Callithrix jacchus: one gene and its partner. The protein of the gene in region 2 interacts with the protein of the main gene of each other region in a pairwise test. Links are inferred from orthologs where the notes say so. Each region holds a gene or a part of one and is shown on either strand. Other genes may lie near its edges.

What was found.
Region 1: the proteins of RANBP9 (region 2) and MKLN1 interact in a two-hybrid assay, tested with the Homo sapiens proteins (2 studies listed by BioGRID). The link is inferred for Callithrix jacchus from reciprocal best matches to the Homo sapiens genes RANBP9 and MKLN1.

The regions. Positions count from the first base shown.
Region 1 is NC_133512.1:115,911,895-115,927,587, reverse strand, and holds the start of MKLN1 (muskelin), read left to right. Parts: upstream 1-8,290; 5' UTR 8,291-8,302; coding exon 8,303-8,400; intron 8,401-11,017; exon of another isoform or gene 11,018-11,030; intron 11,031-11,273; exon of another isoform or gene 11,274-12,057; intron 12,058-15,693. UniProt on the Homo sapiens protein: Component of the CTLH E3 ubiquitin-protein ligase complex that selectively accepts ubiquitin from UBE2H and mediates ubiquitination and subsequent proteasomal degradation of the transcription factor HBP1.
Region 2 is NC_133505.1:17,013,658-17,028,558, reverse strand, and holds part of RANBP9 (ran-binding protein 9), read right to left. Parts: intron 13,269-14,901; coding exon 13,246-13,268; intron 4,653-13,245; coding exon 4,468-4,652; intron 2,584-4,467; coding exon 2,471-2,583; intron 1,309-2,470; coding exon 1,200-1,308; intron 1-1,199. UniProt on the Homo sapiens protein: May act as scaffolding protein, and as adapter protein to couple membrane receptors to intracellular signaling pathways. Acts as a mediator of cell spreading and actin cytoskeleton rearrangement.

The DNA of each region.
Region 1 (15,693 bases), on a different chromosome or scaffold from region 2:
CCATCACATAAACAGAACCAATGACAAAACATGATTATCTCAATAGATGCAGAAAAGGCCTTCGATGAAATTCAACACCTTCGTGCTAAAAACTCTCAACAAACTAAATATTGATGGAACATATCTCAAAATAAGAGCTATTTATGACAAACAAGTAGCCAATATCATACTGAAGGGGCAAAAGCTGGAAGCATTCCCTTTGAAAACTGGCACAAAATAAGGATGCCCTCTCTCACCACTCCTATTCAACTCCTATTCTCACCATCTTATTTGAAGTTCTGGCTAGGGCAATAAGGCAAGAGAAAGAAATAAAAGGTATTCAAATGGGAAGAGAGGAAGTCAATTGTCTCTGTTTCCAGATGACATGATTGTATATTTAGAAAACCCCATCATCTCAGCCCCCAAATTCCTTAAGCTGATAAGCAACTTCAGCAAAGTCTCAGGATATAAAATCAATGGGCAAAAATCACAAGGATTCCTATACACCAATAATAGAGAAGCAGAGAGCCAAATCATTAGTGAACTCCCATTCACAATTGCTACAAAGAACAAAATACATAGGAATACAATTTACAAGGGATGTGAAGGACCTCTTCAAGGAGAACTACAAACCATTGCTCAATGAAATGAGAGGACACAAATAAATGGAAAAAAATCCATGCTCATGGATAAGAAGAATTAGTATCGTGAAAATGGCCATACTGCCCAAAGTAATTTATAGATTCAATGCCATTCCCATTAAGCTATCATTGAGTTTCTTCACTGAGTTAGAAAAAAACTACTTTAAATTTTGTACGGAAACAAAAAAGAACCTGTATAGCCAAGACGATCCTAAGCAAGAAGAACAAATCTGGAGGGATCATGCTACCTGACTTCAAACTACAAGGCTACAGTAACCAAAACAGCATGGTACTGGTACCAAAACAGATATATAGACCAATGGAACACTACACATCCACAACCATCTGATCTTCAACAAACCTGACAAAAACAAGCAATGGGGAAAGGATTCCCTATTTAATAAACGGTGTTGGGAAAACTGGATCCCTTCTTTACACCTTATATAAAAATTAACTCAAGATAGATTAAATATTTAAATGTAAAACCCAAAACCATAAAAACCCTAGAAGAAAACCTAGGCAATACCATTCAGGACATAAGCATGGGCAAAGAATTCATGACTAAAACACCAAAGCAATGGCAACAAAAGCAAAAATTGAGAAATTGGATCTAATTAAAGAGTTTCTGCACAGTAAAAGAAACTATCATGAGAGTGAACAGTCAACCTACAGACTGGGAAAAAATTTTGCAATCTACCCACGTGTCAAAGTTCTAATATCCAGAATCTACAAGAAACAAACAAATTTACAAGAAAAAAACAACCCCATCAAAAAGTGGGCAAAGGATATGAACAGACACTTCTAAAAGAAGACATTTATGTGGCCAACAAACCTATGAAAAAAAGCTCATCATCACTGGTCATCAGAGAAATGCAAATCAAAACCACAATAAGATACTATCTCATCCCAGTTAGAAAGGCAATTATTAAAAAGTCAGGAAACAACAGATGCTGGCGATGCTGTGGAGAAATAGGAATGCTTTTACACTGTTGGTGGGAGTGTACATTAGTTCAGCTATTGTGGAAGACAGTGTGGCGATTCCTCAAGGATCTAGAACCATAGATGATACCATTTGACCCAGTAACCTCATCACTGGGTATATACTGAAAGGGTGATATATCATTCTGATATAAAGACATGTGACATATGTGTTTGCTGCAGCACTATTTACAATAGCAAAAACTTCAAACCAACCCAAATACCCATCAATGGTAGACTGGATAATGAAAATGTGGCACATATACACCATGGATTACTATGTAGCCACAAAAAATGATGAATTCATGTCCTTTTGCAGGGACATGGATGTATCTGGAAGACATCATTCTGAGCAAACTGACACAGGAACAGAAAACCAAACACCACATGTTCTCCTTCATAAGTTGGAGTTGAACAATGAGAATACATGGACACAGGGAGGGAAATATCACACACCAGAGGCAGTCAGGGTGGGGCCAAGGGGAAGGAGAGCATTAGGACAAATACCTAATGAATGTGGGGCTTAAAACCAAGATGACATTTGGTAGGTGCAGCATACCACCATGGCACATGTATACTTATGCAACAAACCTGCACGTTGTGCACATGTATCCCACAGTTTAAAGTAAAATTAAAAAAACAAAAACTTTTCAAATCTCTCATTATCAGGTATTATCCAGCACAAATAGCTATTATTCCTGGTTTTTGAACTTTAAAAAAAAAACAAAGGTACCCTTCCAAATGACTCACCAAAATCAATGAGCCTCAATCAAGGTTATGACTTAACCAAAGATGCATGGGGCATCTTCAAAGGAGGTACAACACAGTCCTCACAACAGCCAGAATCACACCAAAGACAGCTCACAGAAAGGAAAGTTTCACTATCCACAAGTGAAGTACAACTCACATTGCTATCTGGCATGATTTCCACGATCTTAGCTTCTTAGCTGGGTACTCACGAAGGCCCAAATGCTCTGTATGTCCCACAAATGGATAAAGACAGGAAATCAAAAGTTGTCCATGGAAGGGATAAGGCTCAACAACAAACGGTATCCCAAAAGGTCAAGAATCATACAATAATTTAAAACAAAAGGGACTAGCGCCCTGGCCAGGAATTGAGCCCAGGTTACAGTGGTGAAAGCACTAAACCCTAGCCATTATATAGAGAGTTTTGTATTTGTTTTCATTTTTTTTTTTTTGTTTGTGTGTTTGTTTTTTGGTAAATCTTGCAGGGAATTCAAAGCAGGCAGTTTAAGCATTTAAGGATTTTAACTTTTTTTAGATCTGATCTCATCTGGAACGCTGCTTCACTAATTCCCTGAAGGTTAGCATTTTAAAGACATAAGATTTAAAGGGTACTTTCTGATAGTGGCTCAATAAATCAGTGTGTATTAGTTCATTCCCACACTGCTATAAAGAACTACCGAGACTGAGTAATTTATAAATCAAAGAGGTTTAATTGACTCACAGTTCCGCATGGCTGGGGAGGCCTCAGGAAACTTACAATCACGGTGGAAGGGGAAGGGGAAGCAAGCACCTTCTTCACAAGGCAGCAGGAGAGAGAAAGCCAGAAAAGTAACTGCCAAACACTTTAAACCATCAGATCTCATGAGAACTCCCTCACTATCATGAGAACAGCATGGAGGAAACTGCCCTACGATCCAATCACCTCTTACCAGGCTTCTCCCCTGACACACGGAGATTGCGATTCAAGATGACATTTGGTTGGGGACATGGAGCCAGACCATATCACAGTGTCATTCACTAGACCTGGTTAGAAAAAATTTTGTTGGATCTGCATTTTTATAGTCTCAGCAGTCTTATTCCCGTTCTGTTGTTGTTCTGTTTGTTCCTTCTGCTCTAAATTTAAATTCATTTCCCCTGAGAGAAGGAAGTGTGTGTGTTGTGAGATTTAAAAAATCTCTGCCTAAGAGATATATGGAAGTCAAGGGAAGAGGCAGAAAGAGATGAGTTCAGATCACAGGGCTGGAAGGAAAAGGAGGATCTGCGGATGAAAAGCAGAAAGCCTGTGAAGTCTTTTTAAATCGTTTCAAATATCCCCTTGTTTACCTCTGGAATAAAGGCGATTTTTTTCTTTCAGGATTTTTTAGGTGCCACTGGAAGTAAGTCTCCTATTTATATGTCTGGTTGTAAAACCAGCTCTTTCCATTGGTACGCACAAATAAATTACTTAAGGTATATCAAAAGATCCCCATTTTTGGTCATTGTTGCCTATCATCATTCCAGGTTAGAGGGGTCCACTTTCCCAGGTGCTACAAGAGTACCCCATAAATCGTATATGTAATTCCAGCTGGTATTTCTAAAAAGAGTGTTTGGGTTTTGAATATTCTTATTATTGATTTCACATAATTCAGAAACTTTTCAAAAGTGACCAAAGTCAGAAATGTGTTTAGGATCAAAGTGTGACATGTCTTGGACTGTCTCTAATTGTCAGATGGCAGCAAAGTCCTCAAGGATGAGGACAACTGGATTGTCTGTAATTGTCAGATGGCAGAGTCCTCAAGGTACAAGGGACCAGACCCTCATATTATGCCCATCTGGAAGAGCAAAAGGGGTATGCTTTTTAGTTAGGAACTAACAGGAATTGGTCAAAATTAAAGGCAAATTCAGAATTTTCAAGAAATTGAAGACAGCTGCTATCTCAAAAGCATACTGTCTAAAATGAAACCACTGGTACCATCTGCCAGTTCTTTCACTTGAACCTCTGCTGTGAGACGGAGGTGAAAAAAACTTGACCCAAACCCCTGGTTCTGAGGCAGAGGCAGAAAAACTATGACTTGCACCTCTGCTGTGAGACAAAGGGGGAAAAAAGGCAGTTCCCTGCAGAGCTCTTTACCCAAATCTCCTGTCCAAAGACAGAGAAAGAAGCCCTCATTCTGAAAAAAAAAAAAAAAAGAGAGAGGGTTTGAAAAACAGCCGGAATAAAGTGTAGACCTTCAACCAAAGAGCGGGAGGTCCAAATTTAGGAGATCTCACCTGAAACACCTGAAGGCACTTCTGAAGGAGGCGAGTTCACGCTGGTATCAAGTGCTGCTTTCAGAGAGAAACACCAGGTGGCTGGGGAGTCACTGAATCCTGCTGATTTACTCTAGGTGTTTGACCTATAAGAAAGAAGCTGAGGCAAAATTAATATAAGTTGGGAGTTTATGTGGCCCAGGCTTGAGGACTGCAACCCTGGAACATAGATTCAGGTTGCCCTGATTATAAACTCTAGTAGCAGCAGTTACAAGTGGATTTTCAAAGAGAAAGATCTTTACAAGTGGATTTTAAAGGGAAAGATGATCTTGAGTTATTTACCAATAATTGACCTTAAAATAAAATAAGCTACTGATTGGCTATACATTATTAAACTACAGGATGTGGGTTATAATGTCTGGTGCAGCATTAATTAGTAGGTTACTGTTTAGCTTCTGCGGCAATAGTAAGCAGTTTCAAGAGACAAATACACGGCTCAAAAGCTGTGTATTTCACAGCCATTTCACTTTAATGCCTCTCTGGGCCTCATAATTTAAAAGGATTTGCATTTCTCAGATAAAGTTCTTTTCTTAACATTTAAACAAATTTTCAGCTCAGTATCATAATATAGCTGTCTGTATTTATGTTAACATAGAAATGCTTTAAATTATTTTACCATTTATAAAATTTGTGATGCAGGAAAGCCACGCTATCCTGGGTCTTCACCTTCTGAGTAGGAATCATACCTGAGGGATACATGTTTGTAGTCTGAGAAGTGCTGGCATTCTTTTTCCTTTGCAACTCAGAAGTCACTAATTCAAGTTCTCTTTTAGCACTGTTCATTCATTCTTTGATAAATATTCACTGAACATCTATTTGCTAGACACATCAACAGAACTGAGGAGACAACTGTGAACAAGATATGTATGAGTCTTATCTTCATGGGAGCTATCATCTAGAGAGAAAGAGAAATAAAGAGGAAATTAAAATATATTGTGATGTGTGCTAAGATAAAGAGGGAAACTTAGAGTGCCAAGAGAAATGTAAAAAATGTCACCTATCCTGTGTCAGTTTGCACAGGAAAAAAAAAAAATGAAGAAAAATGTCACCTAACCCCATAGCAGGTGATGAAGAAAGATTTTCAGCCAGATGCAGTGGCTCACACCTGTAATCCCAGCACTTTGGGAGGCTGGGCTGACGCAGGAGGATAACTTGAGCCCAGGAGTTCAAGACCAGCCTGGACAACAGAGTGAAACCCTGTGTCTACAAAAAAATTTAAAAAGTAGGTTGGTGTAGTGATGTGTGTCTCTGGCCCCAGCTACATGGGAGGATGAGGCAGGATGATCCTTTAAACCCAGGAGGTCAAGGCTGTAATGAGCCATGTTCATGCCACTGTACTCTATCCTGGGTGACAGAGTCAGAGTGAGACTCTGTCTCAAAAAAACTTCCAGGAAAAAATAGTCTACTGGAGTTAGCCAGGTAAAGTATAGGAAAGAATATTCCATGCCTGGCTTAGAATAAGCCCTGGAGGCTAGAAAGAACAAGGACTCTATGGGAACAAATTCAGTGCACTGGTTTAGAGGGCAGATGTCAAAAGGGCAAAGGAGAAAGATGGGGGGAGGGGGCAAGGGAAGCTGGAGAGAAAAATCAAGGCAGGTTATGAAGGGCCTCTGTTAAACAGTTTAGAAGGGGGCTGAAAGTCACCAATAGGATTTAAGCTTAAGAAGAACTAGTTTATATGTGTTTTTAAAAAAGATTGCTCGGGAACTATGTCTGGAAAAGAACAAGGGCTTGACTTACACTAAGGTAAAAACCTGGGGCCCAAAAGAATTGGAGTGAGTTAATTCCTCTCCTTTAAAGTGTCTCTTTTCTCCAAAGATAACCACTGTATCAACTCTGGGGCTAACATTCTTTGTCCCTTTCCTACTCGCTGTGGCAGCTCCCAACCCAAGTCACTAGGGCTACAGCGTTCCCTTAAGGAACACATACTTTTCCAACCTGCTGCAACACACAGAGCACATGTAATTTTATTTATTTTTCTGAGACAGAGTCTGACTCTGGAGTTCAGGGGTGTGACCTTGGCTGGCTGCAACCTCTGCCTCCTAGGTTCAAGTGATTGTTGTGCCTCAGCCTTCCAAGTAGCTAGAATTACAGGTGTATGTCACCACACACGGCTAATTTTGTATTTTTAGTAGAGATGGGGTTTCACCATATTGGCCACAGTGGTCTCGAACTCCTGACCTCAGGTGATCCACTTGCCTCAGCCTCCCAAAGTGCTGGGATTACAGGTGTGAGCCACTGCACCTGGCCAAGCACATGTAATTTGAAAGGTGAACATACTTGTGGCCTTTCTTATTTTATTTTTGATATTTTAGAGATGGGGATCTTGCTACATTGCCCAGTCTGGTCTCAAACTCCTGGGCTCAAGTGATCCTCCCACCTGGGCCTCCCAAGGTGCTGGGATTACAGGTGTGAGCCACTGTGCCCTGCCTGACCTTTCTATTTGGTCTTTTTTGATCTGATATCCTCGTTTAGGCCACTATTAAATTTTCATCTATAGAAGTAGGAAGTCAGGAAAGGACTGGAGGGAGTTTCGGCAGGTTAATGATTACAATGGAAAGAGAATACAATTATTGAGGTGTTTTGAGTCACTTGGTCATTTCCCGAGAAACTCTTTGCTTAAATATTTCCACTCTTCAGGTGGAGATGACGATACCGTTCAGGTTTTCAGAAGACCAACCTCTTGGACAATAAGCAACATATAACTTTGGTAACTGCAGTGGCTAAGCCAAGGAAAAAATATGAACAGGTACTTAATGGGAACCTGATCTAAAGCTGCCAGATATTTAGACCAAGTGCTCCTTTTGTTTTAAGAAGTTGTGTGATGCCCATATGGTTTTCAGGGCTGCTGTTCCCTCTGTGAGGAAGGAATCGTCTTTTTCCTGAACTTCTCTTTCTCTCAACTTTGAGGCCATATTTTTGTCAGTTCAAAGTGGGCAGATTTGCCAACTGGAAAAACGATGACACGCAGCCTCCCAACTCTGTAAGGACTTTTCAGGTCTGTGGGTGAACGTCATTCCCGAGCAAACCTCATGCTACAAGATTAGTAGGACGTGGTTCACAAGATATGTTTACAATGAAGGGCATCACAGACTGAAAACCTAACAGGGTAGGAGGACACAGGACCATTTCCTTTTCCTGTTTCCATCTGACTCTGGAAGGCGGGGACATTTAAAACCAGGACCACTCCAGGAGTAGAGCACGTTAGCTACTGCCCTCCAGCTCCCTTCAGTGTTGTTTTCGTAAAGGATTTATACATTGGCTAGGGCGGCGGCTTCCAAAGGCGCACAGGCGTCCCTTTTCCAACTTGGTCTCCTCGTTTTCCCTTCCTGCTCCATAACTACAACGTGTTTCTGTTTGTAATCATCTTGGCTAGTCCTTATCTCTGCTTGTAAGAAAAATCCTTTGCGCCATTCCCCTCCAAGCCCCAGGAAAAAGCTTGGAAAGCGCTCCCACCTCAGCCCCAGTGTCGCTCAGCGGTCAAGGGGCAAGCGACGTAGGAAACCCTGAGATAGGACCCTGGCCCCGCGCTGGGCCCGGGTAACGATGCCGGGGCAAGGAGCGCGGCCGGCCTGGGCGGGCGGCGGCCCCTTTAAGAGCAGGCCACGCCCCCTCCCTCCTCCCGTTCGTGGCCAGCGGACGGTGGCGGCCGCTACGGTGCTGACAAGATGGCGGCTGGCGGAGCTGTCGCTGCGGCGCCTGAGTGCCGGCTTCTCTCCTACGCTCTACACAAGTGGAGCTCCTTTTCCTCCACCTACCTTCCCGAGTAAGTGCCGGGCCCTGAGCTCGTGCTGCCCCACTCTTCCGCGTCAGTACGGCTGGGTCAGGGATGCCTTGGAGGGCAGCCGAGCCGAAAGGCCCAGGCGGGGCCTGCTGAGGGGAACGCGCGGCCTCGGGAGCCTTAGTTCAGCTGCTGAGAGCGTTGCTCGGCCCCGCTCCGGAAGGGGTTAGGGTCCCGAGAGCGAGCCCAGGGAGAAGGGGCGCAGTGTGTGGTGGATCCGGGGCGCGCACAAGAGAACCGGAAGCCCAGTGGTGCTGCGTTTGGGATTTGGGGGTTGAGGTTGAGGAGGGCTTGCGGGGCGGGCGGCTCATGGAGGTGGGGCAGGAATCGGAGCTTGCGGGGCCTGGCCCGCGGACAAACTACTCCGAAGGTCTGAGGTCGTCCGAGGTGGCCGGCGTTGGGGGACAGTTCAGTCGATTGCTGCCGGGACAAAGTGTAAAGACGAGGAGTGTATTCCAGAGTGGGGTCATTAAAAGTGATTAGCTGTAGAGTAGCGTTAAAAGTCACAGAAGGCTGAAAAGTTGTGGAATCCTTCTGAATCCCGGCAAGCGGGGAGAAGTTGTAGGACTGGCAGACGATGTCTTTAATGCATGGAAGTTCTGAAAAAGATAGGGAGTGGGAAGGAGGGACGTTACTGAGGAATCCCACTATTTCGTCTCATTAGAAGATGAGTTTGTATAGACACAGACCAGTTTCCCAACCCAGAAACTCAAAACAGAAAAATCTGGCTTTAATGAATTTGATTTTCAACACCGGCTCTGTGGTGATTCCCGATTTAGGTGTTAAACAGTTCAGTTACATTGTTAGGTTTTTTCCTTTAGCACATTCCTTCTGAAATGCTGAAAAAACTCTTACATAGTATCTTGTTTATCTTTGGCTTCTCTTTGAAAGGAGGAGCAGATCTAACTCCCAGATTTACATGCTAGTGGAGAAACTGGCTTAGTAAAGGTTTGAGATCTGTGCAGATCCTTTTTTCCTCTAGCAAGTTCCTTCTCAAATGCTGAAAATACTCTTGCATAGTATCTTACATATCTTTGGCTTATCTCTGAAAGGAGGAGCAGATCTAACTCCAATTTTACATGCTAGTGGATAAGATCTGTGGAGATCCTGAAGAAAAGTCCTAGTTATCCCTCTAACCATCATCACAGGCCCGAAACGATTTTATGAACAAAACAAATTAATGAATACTATATTTTTATCTTACTAAACAAAAAAGTGACTAGATCTGTGAGGCGTACTCAAGTAAGTTTTCCACCTATATTTGAGAAATTCTTCACATTTACCCAAATTTGATTTCACTAGTTACATCAATGAGGAATCTCAAAATGGAGCTGCAACTGGAAGAATCTGTTTTGACTACCAGCCTCCCTTTTATTCACCAGGTCAGGGGTTAGCATTCAGTAGGATCTGGCTCACTGAAGGATGCCAATGACCGGTGGTTTGATTTGGCCGGCGTAGCCATATTCATGGCCATATCCCTGATTGATGCTGGAACTCAACTTTCAGTTTTAGAGTGAGCCAGGTAGACATTCCAGCCATCAGCTGCAGTTGAAATGTGGCCCTGTGTACTTGACTTCTGTTATTTTGGGTTACCATGTTCTTGAATGTGAAGTTATTCAGCATTTTTCTATACCCAGTCTAGCATTATGAACAGTTGGTAATTGGTGTGGCATTGTTTGGTCAAACTGTAGAGACATTTTTCTGGTCTTGAATTAGTCTATTTCCAGGATGTCAGCCCTTAAACTGTTGATGTAGGCCTCTTGAATAACACATGTAATATCTGCGTTATCTGTTGCATGGACATTTTAAGAAAGAGTACATTTCCAGTAGGAAATGATTTAGTGGTATGGCAGCTTTAATCTGATTTTGTGTCTTGTTACTCTGGTCCCTGGTTTGCTGTGGGCAGAACACTAGTTTTGGAGTTAGAGAGCAACAATTTGAGATTGGAGAAATACATTGCTGCAATTTTCTCAAGCACATACATAAAATAGTTTAGTACTTACTTAACTTTCATACAGTTCCATTTACTATATCTTAATCCTTATGACATTCTGTTGACAAATATAGTTTGTTTGTTTGGCAGTATAGTTTGTATTTAAAGCATAAAGTATTAGAGCAGTCTGAGCTTTTTTCTTTGAAGGAGTGTAGTCGAGTAATACGGAGCTTAAGTTGGAGAATATTGTGTCTGCTGGGTTGGTGTGTGCCATGCCTAAATTATAAAACTCTTGGTGCTGAACTTCTATTAGCAAGCAAAGATATTACTTCTCTGTATGTAAGAAAGGGATTGGCTTTACTTACCTTTGCATTAAAATCCCTTCTAGCAGCAATTGCTATCTTTACTGGCAGTGGAAACCACATTAAGGTGCTTCTTAAACAGTCTCATTTCAGGTAAAGTCGTTTGTTGAAATTGTCCACAAATTGGCAAATAATTTGTTGACATAGATCTAAACATATTAAGGTGGCGGTAATAAAACAGTAACAAAAATGGTAAACATTTGTGATGTGCCCTCCAGTTGCTAGGCTCTCTTATGAACGAACATTTTTAAGTGTATCAACTCATTTAATCCTTACAGCAATCCCAAGTGGAATCTACATTTCCCAGATGTTGGAAACAGGTAGGGAGAAGTTAAAACTTGCCTAAGGTCACACAGCTGATTGGAGCCAGGATTTGAATCAAGGTAGTCAGCCTCAATAGTCTGGTCTTTGAGTATAGTGATTTACTGCTTCTGCACAAAGTAGATATAGTACAGGAAATGAGAGCTTTCAAAGTGTTCTTGTATTAAAGACATTTTAGTTGTGTAAAGAAATGTGAAGTCATTTTAAAAAGTTGAACAATTTTATCTCATTTTCTTTCTAAGGACTTAGAATAGAATTTTTTTCCTCTTCTTCCAGGGGCAGAAAAAACAAACATTTCCCCTTTCAACTCTTTTTGATTTATTTGGACCTTAAAAATATTAAAGCAGGCGCGAGTCCGGCCCCCGCCAGCCCGCAAGCCACCCGCGAGCTCACACCGGCTTCTCTCTCTCATCCTCTGGTTGCGGGCGCCATCGCGGTAGTGCTGGGAGCCGCTCTCCGCCGCTGCGCTGTGGCTGCAACCGCCCGGGCCGGCCCTCGAGGCCTCCTGCACTACGCCCCGACCCCCGGCCCCACCGCGGCTATCCAGTCAGTTCGCTATTATTCCCATGGGTCAAAAGAGACAGATGAGGAGTTTGATGCTTGCTGGGTAACATACTTCAACAAGCCCGATATAGATGCCTGGGAATTGCGTAAAGGGATAAACACACTTGTTACCTATGATCTGGTTCCAGAGCCTAAAATCATTGATGCTGCTTTGAGGGGAGACAGACGGTTAAATGATTTTGCTAGTACAGTTCGCATCCTAGAGGCTGTTAAGGACAAAGCAGGACCTCATAAGGAAATCTACCCCAATGTCATCCAGGAACTTAGACCAACTTTAAATGAACTGGGAATCTCCACTCCAGAGGAACTCGGCCTTGACAAAGTTTAAACCCCGTGGATGGGCTTCCCAAGGATTTATTGATATTGCTACTTGAGTGTAAGCAGTCACCTGGAAATACTGATGATAACATATTACCTTATTTGAACAAGTTTTCCTTTATTGAGTACCAAGCCATGTAATGGTAACCTGTACTTTAATAAAAGGGAAATGAGTTTGAACTTAAAAAAAAAAATTAAAGCAGATCCAGTTTTAGGGAATACATTTTTACTTTCAGACTAACAAAATGGCCTTTTATTTTTGTGTGCTTAGAAGAGATTGCCTGTATTTTACTTTTTTCCTGAAATTTACCCCTAATTTGAGAGTTAAATACACTTATTTAAATAATTCATTGAATTACATACACTCTTATACGTAAAAGTATTTTGTAAACTGCTAATCCCTGTGCTCGGATGTTTATTGTTGTAGCTAATAATGATGCTAGCTATAATTTATTGAGCACCTAATATATGCAAGATGATTTTTGTATACAGTTTGTTTAATTCTTGGCACAAACCTGTAAGATAGGTATTATATATTTAAAAAATTTGCAGAGGATGAAACTGAGGTCCATACAGAGTAAGTAGCTTGCCCAGGGTCGTATAGTTTTCCAGACCCTTGACAGGTTTTCTGACTTAACAACTATTGCATTGTGCCTTTAACAGTCACCATTTATTGAGTACCTTCTATTCTTCAGGTACTGTACTGAGCACTTTGCATGTGTTCTTTGATTCAGTCTTCACAAAAACCCTATGAGATAAATATTATTCTCTGTTACAGCTAGGAAAAGTGAGATTCAGAGAGGTAAATTAACTTGTCCAGGTCTAAGAGTTGAAAGTGTAGGAGGGGCAGGGCAGGGTGGCTCATACCTGTAATCCCTGCACTTTGGGAGGCCAAGGCAGGAGGATTACTTGTGCCAGGAATTTGAGACCAGCATGGGCAACACAATGGGACCCCATTTCTAAAAATAATGAGGAGGAGGAGGAAGAAAATGTAGGAGATATGGTTCTCACCTTGGGCCTTTTGACTTTTATCATGAAAGCTATCTCATTATTACATATGGCTATCGTATGTCAAATTGAGATGACAGATAAGAAGTACTCTAAGGTTAGAACAGCAGGAGAGGGAAAATATATTTTATCTTGATGTTTAAGATTTTAATATACTCAAGAAAACTGGGAGAAACTTGGCAAGTATTTTTTACATATTAGGTATTTTCATTTGTATAAATGATTATGTTGTTTACATGTTTTTGAATGCCTTGAATAATTTAGATGATAAAATTTGATGGATATTTAAGTGTGTTTACCTTTTCCCTGTTATTCTTATTACTTAAAATCAAATAGTACTTAAAATAGTACCTTGTGTCAACATGTGATTCATGGTTCAGGGTACAAATGCTATGATTTGACAACTAGAATAGAAAGTGAATTTATTTCAACTCTTTTTAAAACTATTCACATTTAAAAATGAATGTAGGCTGGGCAGGGTGGCTCAGGCCTGTAATCCTAGCACTTTGGGAGGCTGAGGCGGGACCATCACTTGAGGCCAGGAATTTGAGACCAACCTGGGCAATGTAGTAATACCCCATCTCTACAAAATAAAGAATATATATAAATATTTATATATTTTTATTATACAAAATGCATATGCATATTTGTATATTTTTATTATGTAAAAATATATAAATTTTTATATATTTTTTTCTCTTTGCTCTACTAAAGAAAAAGACACCCTGCCAACACCCCATCTCTACAAAGAAAAAAAAAGTATATGTAAAATGTATTTTAATATGTTTTATAGATAATAGACACTTTTATATTATCTATGAATATATTTATATATGCAAATATATTTTGATGCAAAAATGCTGTTTATTATGGAATATTTACAAAATATAGACCCACAGAAACAATTTGTTACCCTTGATATCACTACCTAAAGATTACTGTTCACCCTTTAAATATTATTTATCATTCCAGATCTTTTGCAGTATATTATATATTTTTCAATTTACTATTGTTCTCTGTTTGCTGTTCTGTATTTGCTTTTTCCTCCTTAACATATAATATATGCTTATGCTATTAAATACTTGTATATTATCTTTTTTTTTTTTTTTTAAAGGGACAGGGTCTTGCTCTGTCACTCATGTTGGAGTGCCATGGCATGATCATAGTTCACTGTGGCCTTGACCTCCTGGGCTCAAGCAGTCCTCCTGCCTCAGTTTTGCATGTAGCTGGAACTATAGACACATGCTACCATGCCTGGCCAATTTTTTTTTTTTGTTTAGAAGGAGTCTGGCTCTGTCACCCAGGCCTGAGTACAGTGGTGCCACCTCAGCTCATTGCAACCTCTGCTTCCCAGGTTCAAGCGATTCTCCTACTTTAGCCTGCCAGGTAGCTAGGATTACAGGCATGTGCCACCACGCCCTGCTACATTTTTTTATTTTTAGTAGAGATAGGGTTGCTCTATGTTGGTCAGGCTGGTCTTGAACTCCCGACCTCAGGTGATTCAGGCGCCTCGGCTTCCCAAAGTAGCTCAGGTGTGAGCTACTGCACCCGGGTCAGAAAAAAATTTTGAACTCATTAGTAATAAATCCCTAGATGTTGAGTTGCTGGATTAAAGACATCAGTTTATTTTCCTTCTATCTGTGTAGACAGACAGCACTCTGGGTAGTCTGGGTTCATTTTGGCATTATCCTTGGTAATTTGGAAGAAAAAATGTTTAAATCAGAGACAGGTTGTTTGAGATGTCTGGAGAATGCTTATAATTCAGAAGTGATAATACTCCCAATAACTTTTTTTCTTCCTCCTTAGTCCTTTATTTTAGCTTTTAAATGAATTTTGATTTTTGTTAATTACATATAGTTGAAAAACAAGGACATATTTATGAAATTTATTGTGTATTTGGTGTACAGATAAAGATGGTTGTACAAATGGATTTGAGGTATTATCATAATTCTGTAGGCTCCTGCAACTCACAATTTGTGAACCACTAGTTTGAAGGAATGAAATTCCCAGAAGACTGGAGACTATTATGCCCTTTCTTTTCTTACTTTTCTTTCCCTACTTTAAACTGAGATTTAAGGACACCGGCCTTGCTTGGGAACCTTACTAGCCACGGAAAGTTCTGTGTTTTTTAGTCTGGGATTGTTAGAACTTCAGAAAAATAAAAACACTCAGGATGGGAAAAATATATGAGGTAGACGCAGGACGAGAATTTGAGTCTTTGTTTTTGTTTTTGTTTTTTTGAGATGGAGTTTCGCTCTTGTTACCCAGGCTGGAGTGCAATGGCGCGATCTTGGCTCACCGCAACCTCCGCCTCCTGGGTTCAGGCAATTCTCCTGCCTCAGCCTCCCGAGTAGCTGGGATTACAGGCATGCACCACCAAGCCCAGCTAATTTTTTTTGTATTTTTAGTAGAGACGGGGTTTCACCATGTTGACCAGGATGGTCTCGATCTCTTGACCTCGTGATCCACTTGCCTTGGCCTCCCAAAGTGCTGGGATTACAGGCGTGAGCCACTGCGCCTGGCCCGAGAATTTGAGTCTTTATAGCTAATTCCTAGAATTAGATATTTATGACTTTTGGCAAGTTATGATTCTTTTGTGGGCATCAGCTTCTTGTGTAGAAATACTTTTTATCTGGATAAAATGTTGCCAGGTTTATGTACAATTTTTTTGAGCAGATGGGCAAATAGTTTTATTATTTGCATAACTTTTAGGTAAATATTTAAATAGGTTTTTAATGAAAGAGTTTTGGCCTTTGTGATGTTTTACATGTA
Region 2 (14,901 bases):
GGCAACAAAAGCCAAAATAGACAAATTGGGACCTAATCAAACTCCACAGCTTCTGCACGGCAAAAGAAACAGTCACTAGAGTGAATCAGAAACCAACAGAATGGGAAAAAATTTTTGCAGTTTACCCATCTGACAAAGGGCTGATATCCAGAATTTACAAAGAACTCAAACAGATTTACAAGAAAAAACAAACAAGCCCATCCAAAAATGGGCAAAGGATATGAACAGACAATTTACAAAAGAAGACATACATAAGGCCAAGAAACATATGAAAAAATGCTCATCATCACTGGTCATTAGAGAGATGCAAATCAAAACCACATTGAGATACCATCTCACGCCTGTTAGAATGGCGATCATTAAAAAATCCTGGAGACAACAGATGCTGGAGAGGATGTGGAGAAATAGGAACACTTTTACACTGTTGGTGGGAGTGTAAATTAGTTCAACCATTGTGGAAGACAGTGTGGCGATTCCTCAAGGACTTAGAAATAGAAATTCCATTTGACCCAGCAATCCCATTACTGGGTATATATCCAAAGGACTATAAATCATTCTACTATAAGGACACATGCACACAAATGTTCATTGCAGCACTGTTTACAATAGCAAAGACCTGGAACCAACCCAAATGCCCACTGATGATAGACTGGACTGGGAAAATGTGGCACATATACACCATGGAATATATGCAGCAATCAAAAATGATGAGTTCGTGTCCTTTGTAGGGACATGGATGAATCTGGAGAACATCATTCTCAGCAAACTGACACAACAGAAAATGAAACAGCGCATATTCTCACTTATAGGCGGGTGATGAACAATGAGAACACATGGACACAGGGAAGGGAGTACTACACACTGGGGTCTATTGGGGGGAATAGGGGAGGGACAGTGGTGGGGGAGCTGGGGAGGGATAGCATGGGGAGAAATGCCAAATGTGGGTGAAGGGGTGAAGGCAGCAAAACACACTGCCATGTATGTACCTATGCAACTATCTTGCATGTTCTGCACATGTACCCCAAAACCTAAAATGCAATAAAAATAAGTAAATAAATAAATGTACATTACAAAATTACATATATTTGTAAAGGGGGAAAATTAAAATTACAAAAGCATGAAATATATCTTTTATTATATAAAATATGACAAATATTTATAACACATAACAAATATAGCATTTTATTATGCAAACTCACTTTAAGGTGAAAAGAAGATTAGGATTTCTTTCAAGTAAACTTGGGTATAACTGTTGTGTTGTTTCAATGGCTTCTCCCATTCTTCCTGCTAATACCAATTTCTGAATTCCTATTCAGTAATAGAAAGCAAACGATTAACTTTTACAAAGGTAGGTAAAACATAAACTTAGTGGATCCTCAGAAAAGGGAGTTAGTAAAAATCTGCAAATAAATTATGATTAATTTCTATTTCTTTTTCTAACATCATAGTTTCCATTAGGCAATCCAGGAAACATTTCAGACATACTAAAAAATTAGAAAAAAACATACTGTCACAAATTAAAAAAAAAAAATCACAAACACACAAGTAATATAATTAAAACACATATTATGCAATACTGAAGTTTCAAACACAGATTAAAAAGACTATGTTTTAAAGAGATAATAAAATGCTTTATCAAATATGACTTTCTGAACAAAAGACTAAAAAAATGCTAGCTTTTGAATAAGATTCCAATTTAACAGAGATTCACTGAGCATTCACTTGATCTGACCTTTTTTAAATTAGATGAGGATACAAAATGAGTTAAGTGATCTCTGTTCAACAGAGCTTATTAAAATAGTAGAAAAGGATAGCACACAATTAACTACAATACAATGTAATCAGTGCTATTACAGCGATTTGATCTATGAAACGGTTGTTTTCATCCACCTATTTCACCCATCTGTTTTGTTTTCATCCCCCTCTTGTCAAGTCATACCAACCCTGATGGAATACAGCACCAATTTTAGGATGGCTAACCATGGAACAGTTATGCTAACCTGCCATTGTTATTATAGGGCCTGTTTTATCTTTGGCCACACAGGCCAGCACTAGGATCTAAATAATAAATACGTATGATCAATACTATCTTATATTAGATAGCAACTTAAATTCAAAGATACTTACCTTTCTTTCACATATTATCTCCTCCAACTAATCAGAACTACTTATTTTTAAAAAATTTTAGTTTTTTTCTGAAAGTTTAAGAAAACATTCTTTTAAGAAAAAAATGGTAAAGACATTCCTTACGAAAATTTCTGCAAAATCTCTCTAGAATTAGAATTCTGACACAGACCTATGTGAATTTTTAAGGCTGATCTTCAAAAATGTCAGTGAAAATAAAATTCAGAGGCATCCATTTTAAATATACTTGAAATTATTTAAATTAAGAAAATAAAATTTCTAAAAATTAAAGCAACCCAATCTATAATCTGAAAACAAATGTTAGCATGCACCACAGTGTCCTTACTTTGTCTATTCTTAATGGAAGCTAATTCTTCTAGAACGGTCTGGTCTGTAGATCTGGCAAAGGCCTCTGCTGTGGCACAGTACCCATGGTGGACTAAATAAGATGAAACCATTCTTAAAATAAAACAGAAGAAACATACATCTTTTAGTGAAGAGAATACATGCTTCATACTACAATTTACATAAACAAGGTCTACTCTGGTGTTACAAAAACGAACCTATTTTCTTGAAACAAGGTGTTGTTAAGAACCTCACCTTTAAAGTAAGCTTTTGAAAAACATCATTTGTTGTATTCATGTAGTATTTTCAAAAAGATAACGGAAATCCCATATTGAGAGTACCCTCCTAAAATAAATATTACTTGAGAATCAAGGACATTAAGTGACCTTTTTTTTGATTCTTAGATTATCATTACCCCCAGTTCCCTTCCTATCCTATTATTCAGCCCTACTAACCGTAATTTTCATTTTGCTTTTATTATATGACTTATTCCAGTAATTGCTGGCATTCTGTAAAATAATCAACTTTAAAGTAAAAGATTAAATGTTAACGTTCCAAAGTTTGATAATTTTCTTTACATACCAGTTAAATAAGATGGGATCACAAAGTAAGTACAGAATACTAAGGTGAATCCAGAACAATGTCTATAAAGCCTAGTTAAAGGAAGAACCAGCCTTCTAGTCTAAATCAATTACTATGGTTTGCCCAAGAGATTTATCAAATATGATTTACATGTAAGTGACATATTTCCAAGACAATAATCTTTTTAAAAGGTACCAGGTAGTCAAAACATGTATCTACCACCCACAAAATGTGGTTAGAAAAACTGGTGATCCAACAATATTAACCCAAGTATCTGTTATCTCCAAACATTCAACTCTTAAACCTGCCTCCATCTGACACTACACAGGCTAGTTAGAAAATGGTGGGAAGCAGTGGTTCACCAGGAGGAGACTGAGGAGAAGTGGAGAGGAAGCAGGGAAAAAAGTCTAAGAAACAAATCTGCATCTTATTTTATCCAATTGTTCAAATTAATTTAAGAGGGAGGGGACCTTTTAGAATGGACTTCTCAAGAGTTCATGGTAAGTAACAATTCAGTGAAGAAGTGGGAGGATCCTGGCTGTAAGATTAAAATCAATGTTTTCTATGACCCTGCCATGACGCTCAGTGAGAGCATTAAAACAATGTGGCGCCAGAACAACCCAACCTAGAGCTTCAGCTCATGGTGACCATGGGATTCTGCATCAGGGTTGTCTGTTCTCTGAGCTGGACAGAAAAACGAGTGTTCAAGCTCTGTAATACAAATGATTGTAGTTCTAGGGAAGAAGTGTGCTTTCACAGTCATCATCATGTCTCTTAATCACTGCCTTTTCTAACAAAATACCCCCAAAATTTTATGACAATTTTAAAGTTAAGAATATTCAAAGCAATTATAAGGACATTTAAGATGACATGTGTTAGACCAATTGCATCTGAAAGTCTGCTATTTTCTTGGCTTGGATTATAATAGTGAAAAGGACTTTTTAAATTTAATGGTATTTATTAAAAATTTAAGTCTATACTTATACTGCTGTTAGTTCAAATATTAAGAGCTTGGGCATGGCCAAGTTCATGTCCAAAAACCACAGATCCTAATTATAAAATCTAGATTATCTCTCAACTTTATCTTTTGCATTAACATTATTAAAAGTTAAATTGTGTAACGTACAGAAATCCTATTACTAAGAAAAGCAAATGAATTAACCTAGCCTAGATGACCTATCATTTTATTTCCTCCATCCAATTAATTCAGACAGAAATACAATTCTATATGTGTCATCAATTGTTTTTAATTTGTTTAGTGGAGTAAATTACTTTTTGTTGAGAGAATAAAATCAGTAACATTGTAGAGATATTAGTATATAAACTGATTAAAAAGTTTCCATGAATACCAAAAGAATAAATGTCTTATAAAAAATATATTCTGAATAATGTCAATTCAAATTTCTTCACTCTTACTTTTGTATCATGGTCTGCCATTCTCCTTCTCGATCTCCGATAGGAAATCGGTCTATCTGTGCCTGGATTTTGGTTCTCCACTCTCGCATATAGTCTTCTATATCAAACACGAAAGGATGTTGACCAAAATTGGCATCAACCACTTCTCCTGGTGTCTGAAGCCCCACAGTAGGATACAAATTTGGCTGTAAGATAACATATTTCATTAAACAGCTATCCATTTTATGTTAGATTTAATATTATTTTAATGTTATCTTTAAAAGAGCAGAACTATAAATTTACTTTATATTTTAAAATCCCAGTCAAAATATTAGAAGGCTAAAACAAATGATCTAAAATACATTGTATGTTAGATGAAAAAATATCACTTCCTGCAATTTAATCATCAAGAAAAAACATAGCAACCCAAGATCTCTATTTTACTGATTCAGGGACAACGTTGTATTATAACATGTGGCACTATGCTACTAATATATAGAGATGTAATTCTTGTTCTAAAGATTATGTCATATAGTAGTTATAGAAATTCAAATATAAACATATAACTCAGGTTTACCCCAGATTTTATATGATACATTTCTATAAATTGCATGTTAAAGCTAGTTACCATAAAAGTACAATCTCAGCTAGTCTGGCATGTAATAGCTTAAATTTACTATTTTCATTCTGCACATTTGGGATGCCTAACTTTACAAAGGGAAGGGGATAAGACCTTAACTACAAGCAAAACACAGTGCCATGAAGAGTGGGGATTCTCTATATTAAATTAGAAAAAACAAAACTCAAGTGTACATATTTCAAGGGAGGAAAAGGATTAATTTAAATACCTAAACTCAGAAATGCATTCACGTACACTCCAGGATTTCAAGGTTACTCAAGATGAAAAGGTGGTAACCTCAAGTATACAAAAAAATAGAGGAGTCATTCTTTTGGCTGTGTCACTAATTGGTTGTTACATCTAAAGGGAGAATGAGTTTCCAAGTGTCTACTAAATGCCAGGGTTTAATCATAATAGTTCTGTGAGGTCACTCTTATTATTTCTACTACAAAGATAGAGAAAATGAGGATTCAAGGTTAAATAACTTGCTCATGGTCATTCTGCTAACAAGTGACAGAAATGGAGTTGACACACAAGTTTGTCTATACCACATCCATGACGGATTTTTTCCTCTTGTAACTCCAAATCCTACCATATTTTTGTTTTCTGTATTTATGTCTTATATCTTTGATTTAATAGTTATAATAAGTATTTTCAGTACAAAACAAGGTAAAGATCAAGAGTGGATAATTTCGGTGTGAATAAAGATGTTAAATAGTTTTCACAATAAAATGCTAAAGAGGATATGTTTTAAAACAACTATTTGATCAAGCAGAACAAATAAGAAACAAAATAAATATTGCGGCCAAACATCAACAAAGTACTACTGAATTATGGAAATAAATGGTTAAAGCAAAGTATGCAAATGTAGATTCTTAATAATCAACAGAGCTAAAGGTTTACAGACTTACAAACCTAACAGGTTTATAGACTTTTAAGCTAAAAACAGGTGAGACAGTACAGCGTTCCCATTTCGCCAATGAGAAAATGGAGACCTAAAGACTTTATAGAAACAGGCCAGGTGTGGTGGTTCATGCCTATAATCCCAGCACCATGGGAGGCTGAGGTGGGTGGATCACCTGAGGTCAGGAGTATAAGACCAGCCTGAACAAGATGGGGAAACCTTGTCTGTACTAAAAATACAAAAATTAGTGAGGTGTGGTGGCATGCACCTGTAATCCCAGCTGCTTGGGAGGCTGAGGCAGAAGAATCACTTGAATTCAGGAGGCAGAAGTTGCAGTAAGCCAACATCACACTATTGTACTCCAGCCTGGGCAACAACAGCGAGACTTCAACTCAAAAAAAGAAAAAAATAGGTCAGGCGCGGTGGCTCACGCCTGTAATCCCAGCACTTTGAGAGGCTGAGGCGGGCGGATCACAAGGCGAAGTGATCGAGACATCCTGGCCAACATGGTAAAACTCCCCCCATTTCTACTAAAAATACAAAAATTAGCTGGATGTGGTGTCGGACGCCTGTAATCCCAGCCACTTGGGACGCTAATGCAGGAGAATTGCTTGAACCCAGAAGGTGGAAGTTGTAGTGGGCTGAGATGATGCCATTGCACTCCAGCTTGGGTGACAGAGTGAGACTCCATCTCAAAAAAAAAAAAAAAAACAAGAAAACAAGAAAAGGATTTTACAGAAACAATTTAAAAGCACACGGCTTGCTAATGGCAGCACTTGAAAAAAAAAGAACCTCACATTTCTCTACTTCTAGCATAGTATTCTTTGCCTTAAAACCCACTAGAGTTATGAGATACTTTAAAACAAAAGCATATAAGCCAAAAACAATAAAGAAATCAACAGAGTGAAAGGCAATTTTATCATTAAGCAAAGTTTACAATTATGATATTCAGTATTGTCTAAATAAAGACACTTTCAAAATGATTTGCTCATCTAAATTGTCTAACAAATTTAGAAAAATAATTCTGTCAACACTATCAAAGACAATCAACATTCATGAATTATCTGATAAAACTTTCATAAAAATTTAAAATTCCCTATGACAAAACATGCCACAAATGGCAAAGACAAATGACTTTCTAGAAAAAAAAAATGTACCATGCATATGGCAAAATGTGTATTCCAAATATAGAAAACATTCTCACACTTCAGGAGGACAAAGACTACCAGTTCAAATTCTTAAAAATGGCAATGAATATGTAGACAATTTGTAGAAGAAATAAAAATGACAACATATAGACACGCTTAATTGCATTCAAGTCTTTAGATGCAGATTTTTTAATGTGTACTTAAAATAAAATCAATTAAATTTAAAATGCAAGATTAAAAACTTTTTTGAACATCAGATTAACACTTGGAAGGCTGAGAATAACCAATGTTGATAAGGGTTGGGAAAATAACCTCATCTATTGCACACAGAAATGTAAAGTGACATAATCTTTTAATAAAGAAATGTGGAAAAATCTATTAAAATCGACAGTAATTTCACTTGAGTTTATTCAAAGCAAGCATGTGCAAAGACATATCTTGTAGCATTATTTGTAATGCAAACAAAATTTTAAAATATCCACAGATAGGTGACATTATACCACATTCATCAAATCTCAGATTCTAATAACAACAAATATCACTGTTTTATGTGTAGGAAAACACAACGCAAATTAAACTCTAACCAGCCACTGATTCTAAAGTGTATTTTCTTTTCCTTCTTCTTCTTCTTCTTTTTTTTTTTTTCAGATGGAGTCTTTCTCTGTTGCCCAGGCTGGAGTGCAACAGCCTGATCTCTGCTCATCACAACCTATACCTCTTGGGTTCAAGCGATTCTCCTGCCTCAGCCTCCAGAGTAGTTGGGATTACAGGCACACGCCATCACACCCAGTGAATTTTTTGTATTTTTAGTAGAGACAGGGTTTCACCATGGTGGCCAGGTTGGTAGTGAACTCCTAACCTCGTGATCCGCCTGTCTCAGCCTCCCAAAATGCTGGCATGACAGGCGTGAGCCACCACACCTGGCCCTAAAGTGCATTCTCATTTCAGAAATATTAAAATATGAAAAAATGTACATTTTATAATTGATCAATTGTGGTAGTATGTTAATACAATAAGAGAACATAAAGCAGGAAAAACAGAATGAAAAATGTATATATGGACACAGAAAGATGTCCTATACACATTACTAAATGAAGAGAGCAAGGTATAACATAATGTATATAGTATGACCCTATCTTTTATATAAACATTTAAAAAATGAACATACTGGCTTGTATGTATTTAGAAAGATATATATTCAAGTTAAACATTATAGCCAAAGAGACTGGGATCATGAAGAACTTCTCTTTTGTACATTTCTGTATATATAAACATTTCTCATTTAAATATTTAATACTGTACTTCTATACTCTGAGATAGATTAAAAAAACTTTTAGTAATATTAAGTCAGTTTTGGCTCACTGAAAAGTAACTATAATTTTTATAGCATTTATACAACTGGAGAATTTGGGGGAAGAGGATTAAGGACTAGTCCTTAACTTGCTATATCACAGATTTTAAAAAGCAACAGCCTTCAATATTTTTTAGTATGTTGACAGAACTGTGCAACTATCATAATTTAACTGTATAACAATCACATCACCTCAGAAAGAAACCCAGTACCCATCAGAGGACAATTCCCATTTCCCCATCCCCCCAGTCCCCTAACTTGTGGCAACCACTAATCTACTTTCTGACTCCATGAATTTGCCCATTCTAGACATTTTGCATAAATGGAACTACAAAATATGTGATCTTTTATGACTGGCTTTTTTTTCTTTTGAATTGGAGTTTTGCTCTTGCTGCCCAAACTGGAGTGCAATGGCGTGATGTCGGCTCACTGCAACCTCTGCCTCCTGGGTTCAAGTGATTGTCCTGTCTCAGCCTCTCAAGTAGCTGGGATTACAGGCATGCGCGATCACGCCCGGCTAATTTTGTATTTTTAGTAGAGACAGGGTTTCATTTTGGTGAGGCTAGTCTTGAACTCCCGACCTCAGGTAATCTGCCCACCTTGGCCTCCCAAATTGCTAAGATTACAGGCACGAGCCACGCACCCGGCCTATGACTGATTTATTCAGCATGTTTTCAAGGTTCATCCACTCAGCAGACACATCTTCACTACAGATTTAGATGTAATAATGTTTTCCAGAAAAATGTTTCTAAATCTGAAAAAATTACTCCAGCTTATGTACATAGACAAAATAGGTCCTTTATGAAAAGAATAGGAAAACATTTCTATTAACTTGCAAAAGATATTTTCAACCTAGAAACTTTTTAAAAGCTAAATGTATACTCTATAAATTCATATTCTCAATAGCACAGCTTTGGTCTATATTAGATTTCTTCTAATAAAAATGACTATACAGGTATTTCTCTCTCTCCAGCCCCCCAACCCCCTGCATGTGTGTGTGTGTGTGTGTGTGTGTGTGTGTGTCTCACTCTCTTCCCCTCTCCTTCCTCCTCCTCATTTAAAAATAATTAAAAAAAATTTTTAAAAATGCTATACAAATAATGTATCCATAAAAAGGAGACTTCAAGTCAGTGACTAGAATAGGAAAATAGCATCACTTAAAATGAGAACAGCTACTCTAACTAAAGAAATATATACCCAATCCCAAACTGAATTATATTTAATGTCATTTCTCAAACTGGTGAGGAAAAGCTGAGGGGAAAAAGACTATTCTGGAAAAAATCTAAGGTTTTCAAAGCTGTATAAACACTTATGTTCCATAACAGGTGCAGAACAATCTAGGTAAACTGGTTTTTCTGCAAATATACTTTCTCTTAAGGAGTCGATGGTACAGGTAGCTAGTGAGAAATCACAGGTACAGAAAATATGATATAAACATTTCCTTGATGCTTCCTTTAAAAGAAAGATTAACTTTTTCCTAAGTAGAAAAGTGGTATGGAGCCTGTGGAAGTTGAGAAGATTTACAGTATTGAAAATGAAAAACACTATACTAAAAGGAAACCTAAAACCACCACTCTGACCACTGTTATAACGAAGTTCCACATCACTGGTTAACCGAGGGAGAAAACAACTGGTGATTCAAAGTGGGAGAGAAAATAACACATCTACAACCAACCAAGTTTTTCCCAAATGATCACCACTCTATCTATGAAAGAGAAAATGAAAGCTAACAACAACAAAAGCTCAGGTTGACAAGTTGGTTTTACATGCTTAGTGCCACAACACAGGAAAAAACAAAAACCAGCCACTAAACCCTTTAACCAACGCCAAATGAAACTTAACAGCATTCTCACCAGAGTCTCTTAACAGTTAAAGACCAAATCAACCCACCAATAAGAATCTGTACTACACACTCTGCCTGTCCCTACAATGCTCTTCTCAAAAGCCTATCCCCTCATTTATCTCATACACCTGTCTACCTCTTTCTACGCTATATCAACTTTTTGCGTGCAAGTAATTTTCATCAGCATGCTCAATCTCCTTTTTTGTCTACTGCCCCAACTTCCACCACTGGCTACTATTCCATTTCTTTTTTTCCTTTTCTTTTTTTTTGAGACGAAGTGCTACTCTTGTTGCCCAAGCTGGAGTGCAGTGGTGTGATCTCAGCTCACTGCAACCACCACCTCCCAGGTTCAAGTGACTCTCCTGCCTCAGCCTCCTGAGTAGCTGAGACTACAGGCACGCACTACCATGTCTGACTAATTTTTGTATTTTTAGTAGAGATAGGGTTTCACTATGTTGGCCAGGCTGGTCTTGAACTCCTGACCTTGTGATCTGCCACCTCGGCCTCCCAACATGCTGGGATCATAGCCGTAAGCCACTGCACCCAGCCTACTCCCTTTCTTTTCTCCTCATTGTGGCCAAAGTCCTCCAGAGTTGTCCACTGTCTATAACTCACCTCATCCTAAAATCCATTCCAATCAGGATGTCTCTCTCCAACATACTGCTGAAATTTTCTTCTCCAGGTCACCAATGACCTCTACTCTGCTAAGTACAACGGTCAATTCTCAGATCTTATGTAATTTTCAGATCCAATCCATCAGCCATTTCTCTTGGTTTTGAGTTGGATTTTTAAAGAGGAGAGGTCTCATATTGCCCAAAGTGGTGTTTTGAACTCTTGGCCTCAAGCAATTCTCCCACCTGTTTCCCAGAGCCAAATAATGCTTCTTGGTGAGTACTTTTGATCGGTAGGGTTCAAATATTCCTTGTCTTAAAATTATTTTCTATTATAATTTTGATTTCTTCTGCTTTTTTTCCCTAGGATTTTCTTAAAAGATATATTCACTGCCTCTGAATCTTCCATCATCTCTCTCAATGCATCTCTGAAAACTGGAATGCATTTTATAATTGATGACACCTTACTATGGTCAGGCAGCTGTCATGATCACAGCGGTCACTGCCTGCACAGGTGCAAATTTGTTAAACAATGAGCTCACTGAAAAACTTTTGGGACTGAATTGCTTTTCCTGATGAAATTTTCATTTTTGTGATATCGATTACTATCATGAAAGTGACAGTATCAAATGTGCACGATGTAATCAGCAAACTGAAGGAAAATCCCAGAGACATAACAGAGAAATCTTAAAAAATGTACTTGACAGCAGAGAAGATAGTATCACATAGAAAATCATAGGCATCAGCCTGGGCAACTTGGCGAAAACCCGTCTCTACCAAAAAGACAAAAAATCAGTCGGGCATGCTGGGGTGTGCCCGTGGTCCCAGTTACTTGGGAGGCTGAGGTGGGAGGATTCCTTGAGCCTGGGCAGCAGAGGCTGCAGTGAGCCAAAGTTGCAGTAAGCTAAGATCACACCACTGTACATCAAACTGGGTGACAGAGTGAGACAAAAGAAAATCATGGCATAGACTAAAAATAATTGATTTAAAAGGTCAGACTCTGAACATGAAGGACCTTAATCAATTTATTTTTGCTTTTTTTTTGCAATTTATTTTTCCGTTTTTACATGTGTAACATCTAAAAAGAGACACAGATTAAACATCTATGTTTAAATAACCCTAAGAGATTGTTCCGTGAGTATCAAATAAAAATACTAAGTGATAAGGGAGGCATTATGTCATAGTTTGTTAGTTTTTTCCCCCTTGGTGTCAAAGATGATGCAGATTACAACTGATACTGCCTTGGGTTTGGTAAATAAGATACGTGGAATCAAACCTCTACTGAAGAAAGTGACTGTTATCCCTTGCTTGAATTTCTGCAATAGTCTCCTCACAGGTCTCCTTGCTTCTACCCTTACATCCATATTGCCTATTTTTCAACTAAGCAATCACAGTGATCCTGTAAAAAGTGAAGTAATATCATGACAAACAAAAGTCTGCAATGTCTTTGTATTTCACTCAGAGTGAATTTCACTCTCAATGGCTTGCTCAGGTGGCCCAGATGATCTATTAATAGCTTACCCCCAACCCCCATCATTATCTCTGATCATCTACTACTACATACGCTCTGCCCTCCTCACTCCTCTCTACCACACTTCATGCCCTTCTCCAAACAAGCCCAGTGTGCTCCTGCCTGAGCACCTTTTCCCTAACTTCTCTCTGCCTGGAAAACTCTTGTTCTACATATCCATTTGGCTGACTCCCTCAACTCCTCCAAAAGCCTTAACTCAAGTCTCACCTTGAGCAAAGGGGAGCAATTTGTACAACCTTGTGTCCTACTGTTGGTATTCCCATTCTCTTTTTTCCCTTTCTTTCCAAAGGATACTTAACACCCTTAAAATATGTTCTAATATGCTTGTTTTTCATATACTGCTTATTATCTAACTTTCACAGCTTGGCTACTATGAAGTCCAAGAAGGTAGAGACCATTACTACCTGTTTTGTTGAATTATATATTCCAAGCACTTAACCTGCCACATGGTAGGCCTCTATATAGCTTGGATGAATAAATTAGAATCGCTATACAGCCCTCTGCTGAAGAGTCCAAGGAAATACATTTCAAATGAATGAATGGTGACATTTAAAAAGATAACGTAAATCAATTCTGATTTATTTTCCTTTATACAATGAATCCAGTGCAAGCTGGAACTTAATTTCTGAAGGTCTATATCCAAGGTGGTTAGAGAAAAGATCTCTTCTTTGCATACAAACATAATAAATATCAATAAGACTGTATTCTAAACTTCCTAAATATGCCCAGTATCAGTTTCTTTGTACTTCCTTTAATTAAAAATGGAAAATTGCTTTTTATAAAAAGTCTTACCGGTAGGTCAGTGAAAGCAATACCTAAAAAGAAAGAAAAAAAGTAGCATTAGAGCTGTTTTTCAAAGCAGACTATAGTGACAAGCTGAATTTCTAGCTAAAAAGAGTGAAACAAATGGCAAAAGAAAAAACATGAAAGCCTAAATATAAAATAACAGGAGTAATTTTTTAATCAATAATACTAACATACATGTCTGAGTGAATGCTGTCCCCCTTCAATATAATCAGCCATACACAAATTTTATTTCTGAGATGTTGTCACTGTCTCAAGGATTTTTGAAATAGTGTTAGACATATCTTCAACGCTACATTAGAAAACACATTAAGAAAGTTGTTTGCAAAATAATTTATTTTTTACCCCGCAAGTTGCAATTTCTAGCCTCGTTGTTTAATAATCATCATCTAGATTTAGCTTGTAAATAATTTTAGGTGGAAGGAAAAGAGTTTTTCTGTTATAAAAAGCGAACAAGGGAAAATACAGTATATTTTTGCTTAAGAAATGTTTCTTATGAAAGTAAATTCTTTAACTTCTGATTTACTCATGGGAAAAAACAATTCCTCCTCCAAAGAATAAAGGATTATACACAGTTGAGAATTTCTCTTGAATACCCTTTGACAGTTATTTCAAACAGTCACGTTCTAGATACAACTTGAACAAGGGCAGTATCATTGGAATAAGTCTACTGTCAACCCAACATGACAATTTAACTACCTCCTTCCAAATATTCAAATACACAACTTAGCTGAAAGTAAGATAAATTATTTCTGTAGGACCTCACAGATATATTTTAAAAGATCTAGCTCTAGAATAATGGGAGAGGAGCAGTACTGGTGAGTCAGTTGCTCTCAATTCTTCCAGTCTAAAACAAACATTAAAACAAACCAAGCCAGCACCACTGCTTCTACAGTCTTGATCACTATCTTAAAAATGAGGGGATTTCCATTAAATTATTTTTAAGGTCTCTTCCCACTTGCCATTTTATTCCTCTATAACAGAAAACATCTAACTCTGTTAATTAAGGTAATAAAGTTAAAAGACAACCTGAATATAAATTTTACACTTTTAAAATAATGTGTAAAAATAATGCTTTGTAGTTAGTAAAGCCCTGTTTGAGTTTAAACAAATAAATTCATTGTGTCTTGTCAAAAGGAAAGCAAAGTTAGGGTTCCGGTTGTCCCCATGTATAACATTATCATTACATTTAAATTCATTAATAACACAGAAGGCAAGTGAGTACTATCAGCCCAAATAAAGTTTATTCCAAATTTTCACAAAAGTTAAAAGAATACAAAAAGAGAGAATTATTTTAATATACTATAACTACATATTTCTAATATTTTTCATAAAATAAGAAAATCAATTATTTTTCTCAAAGATGTCTAGTTATAATAAAGACTGTACATTCTATTTTTAGCAAAAATCCTTTATGTCTATAATTACCGAAATTTTCATTTTACCAAAAACTCTCATGAAAAATTCAAAATTAGTTCCAAAGGTTAACATTTTTTTAACACTGCCAAATACAGTTATCACAACATGTTTTTGCTCAATCAGACCATGAAAAGATGCCACTTTAACAAGATGGCATAACTATTTAAATTTTACATAGAAAGCAATTTTCTATATTCATGATTTCCTGGTTTGTCAGGCTTTCTG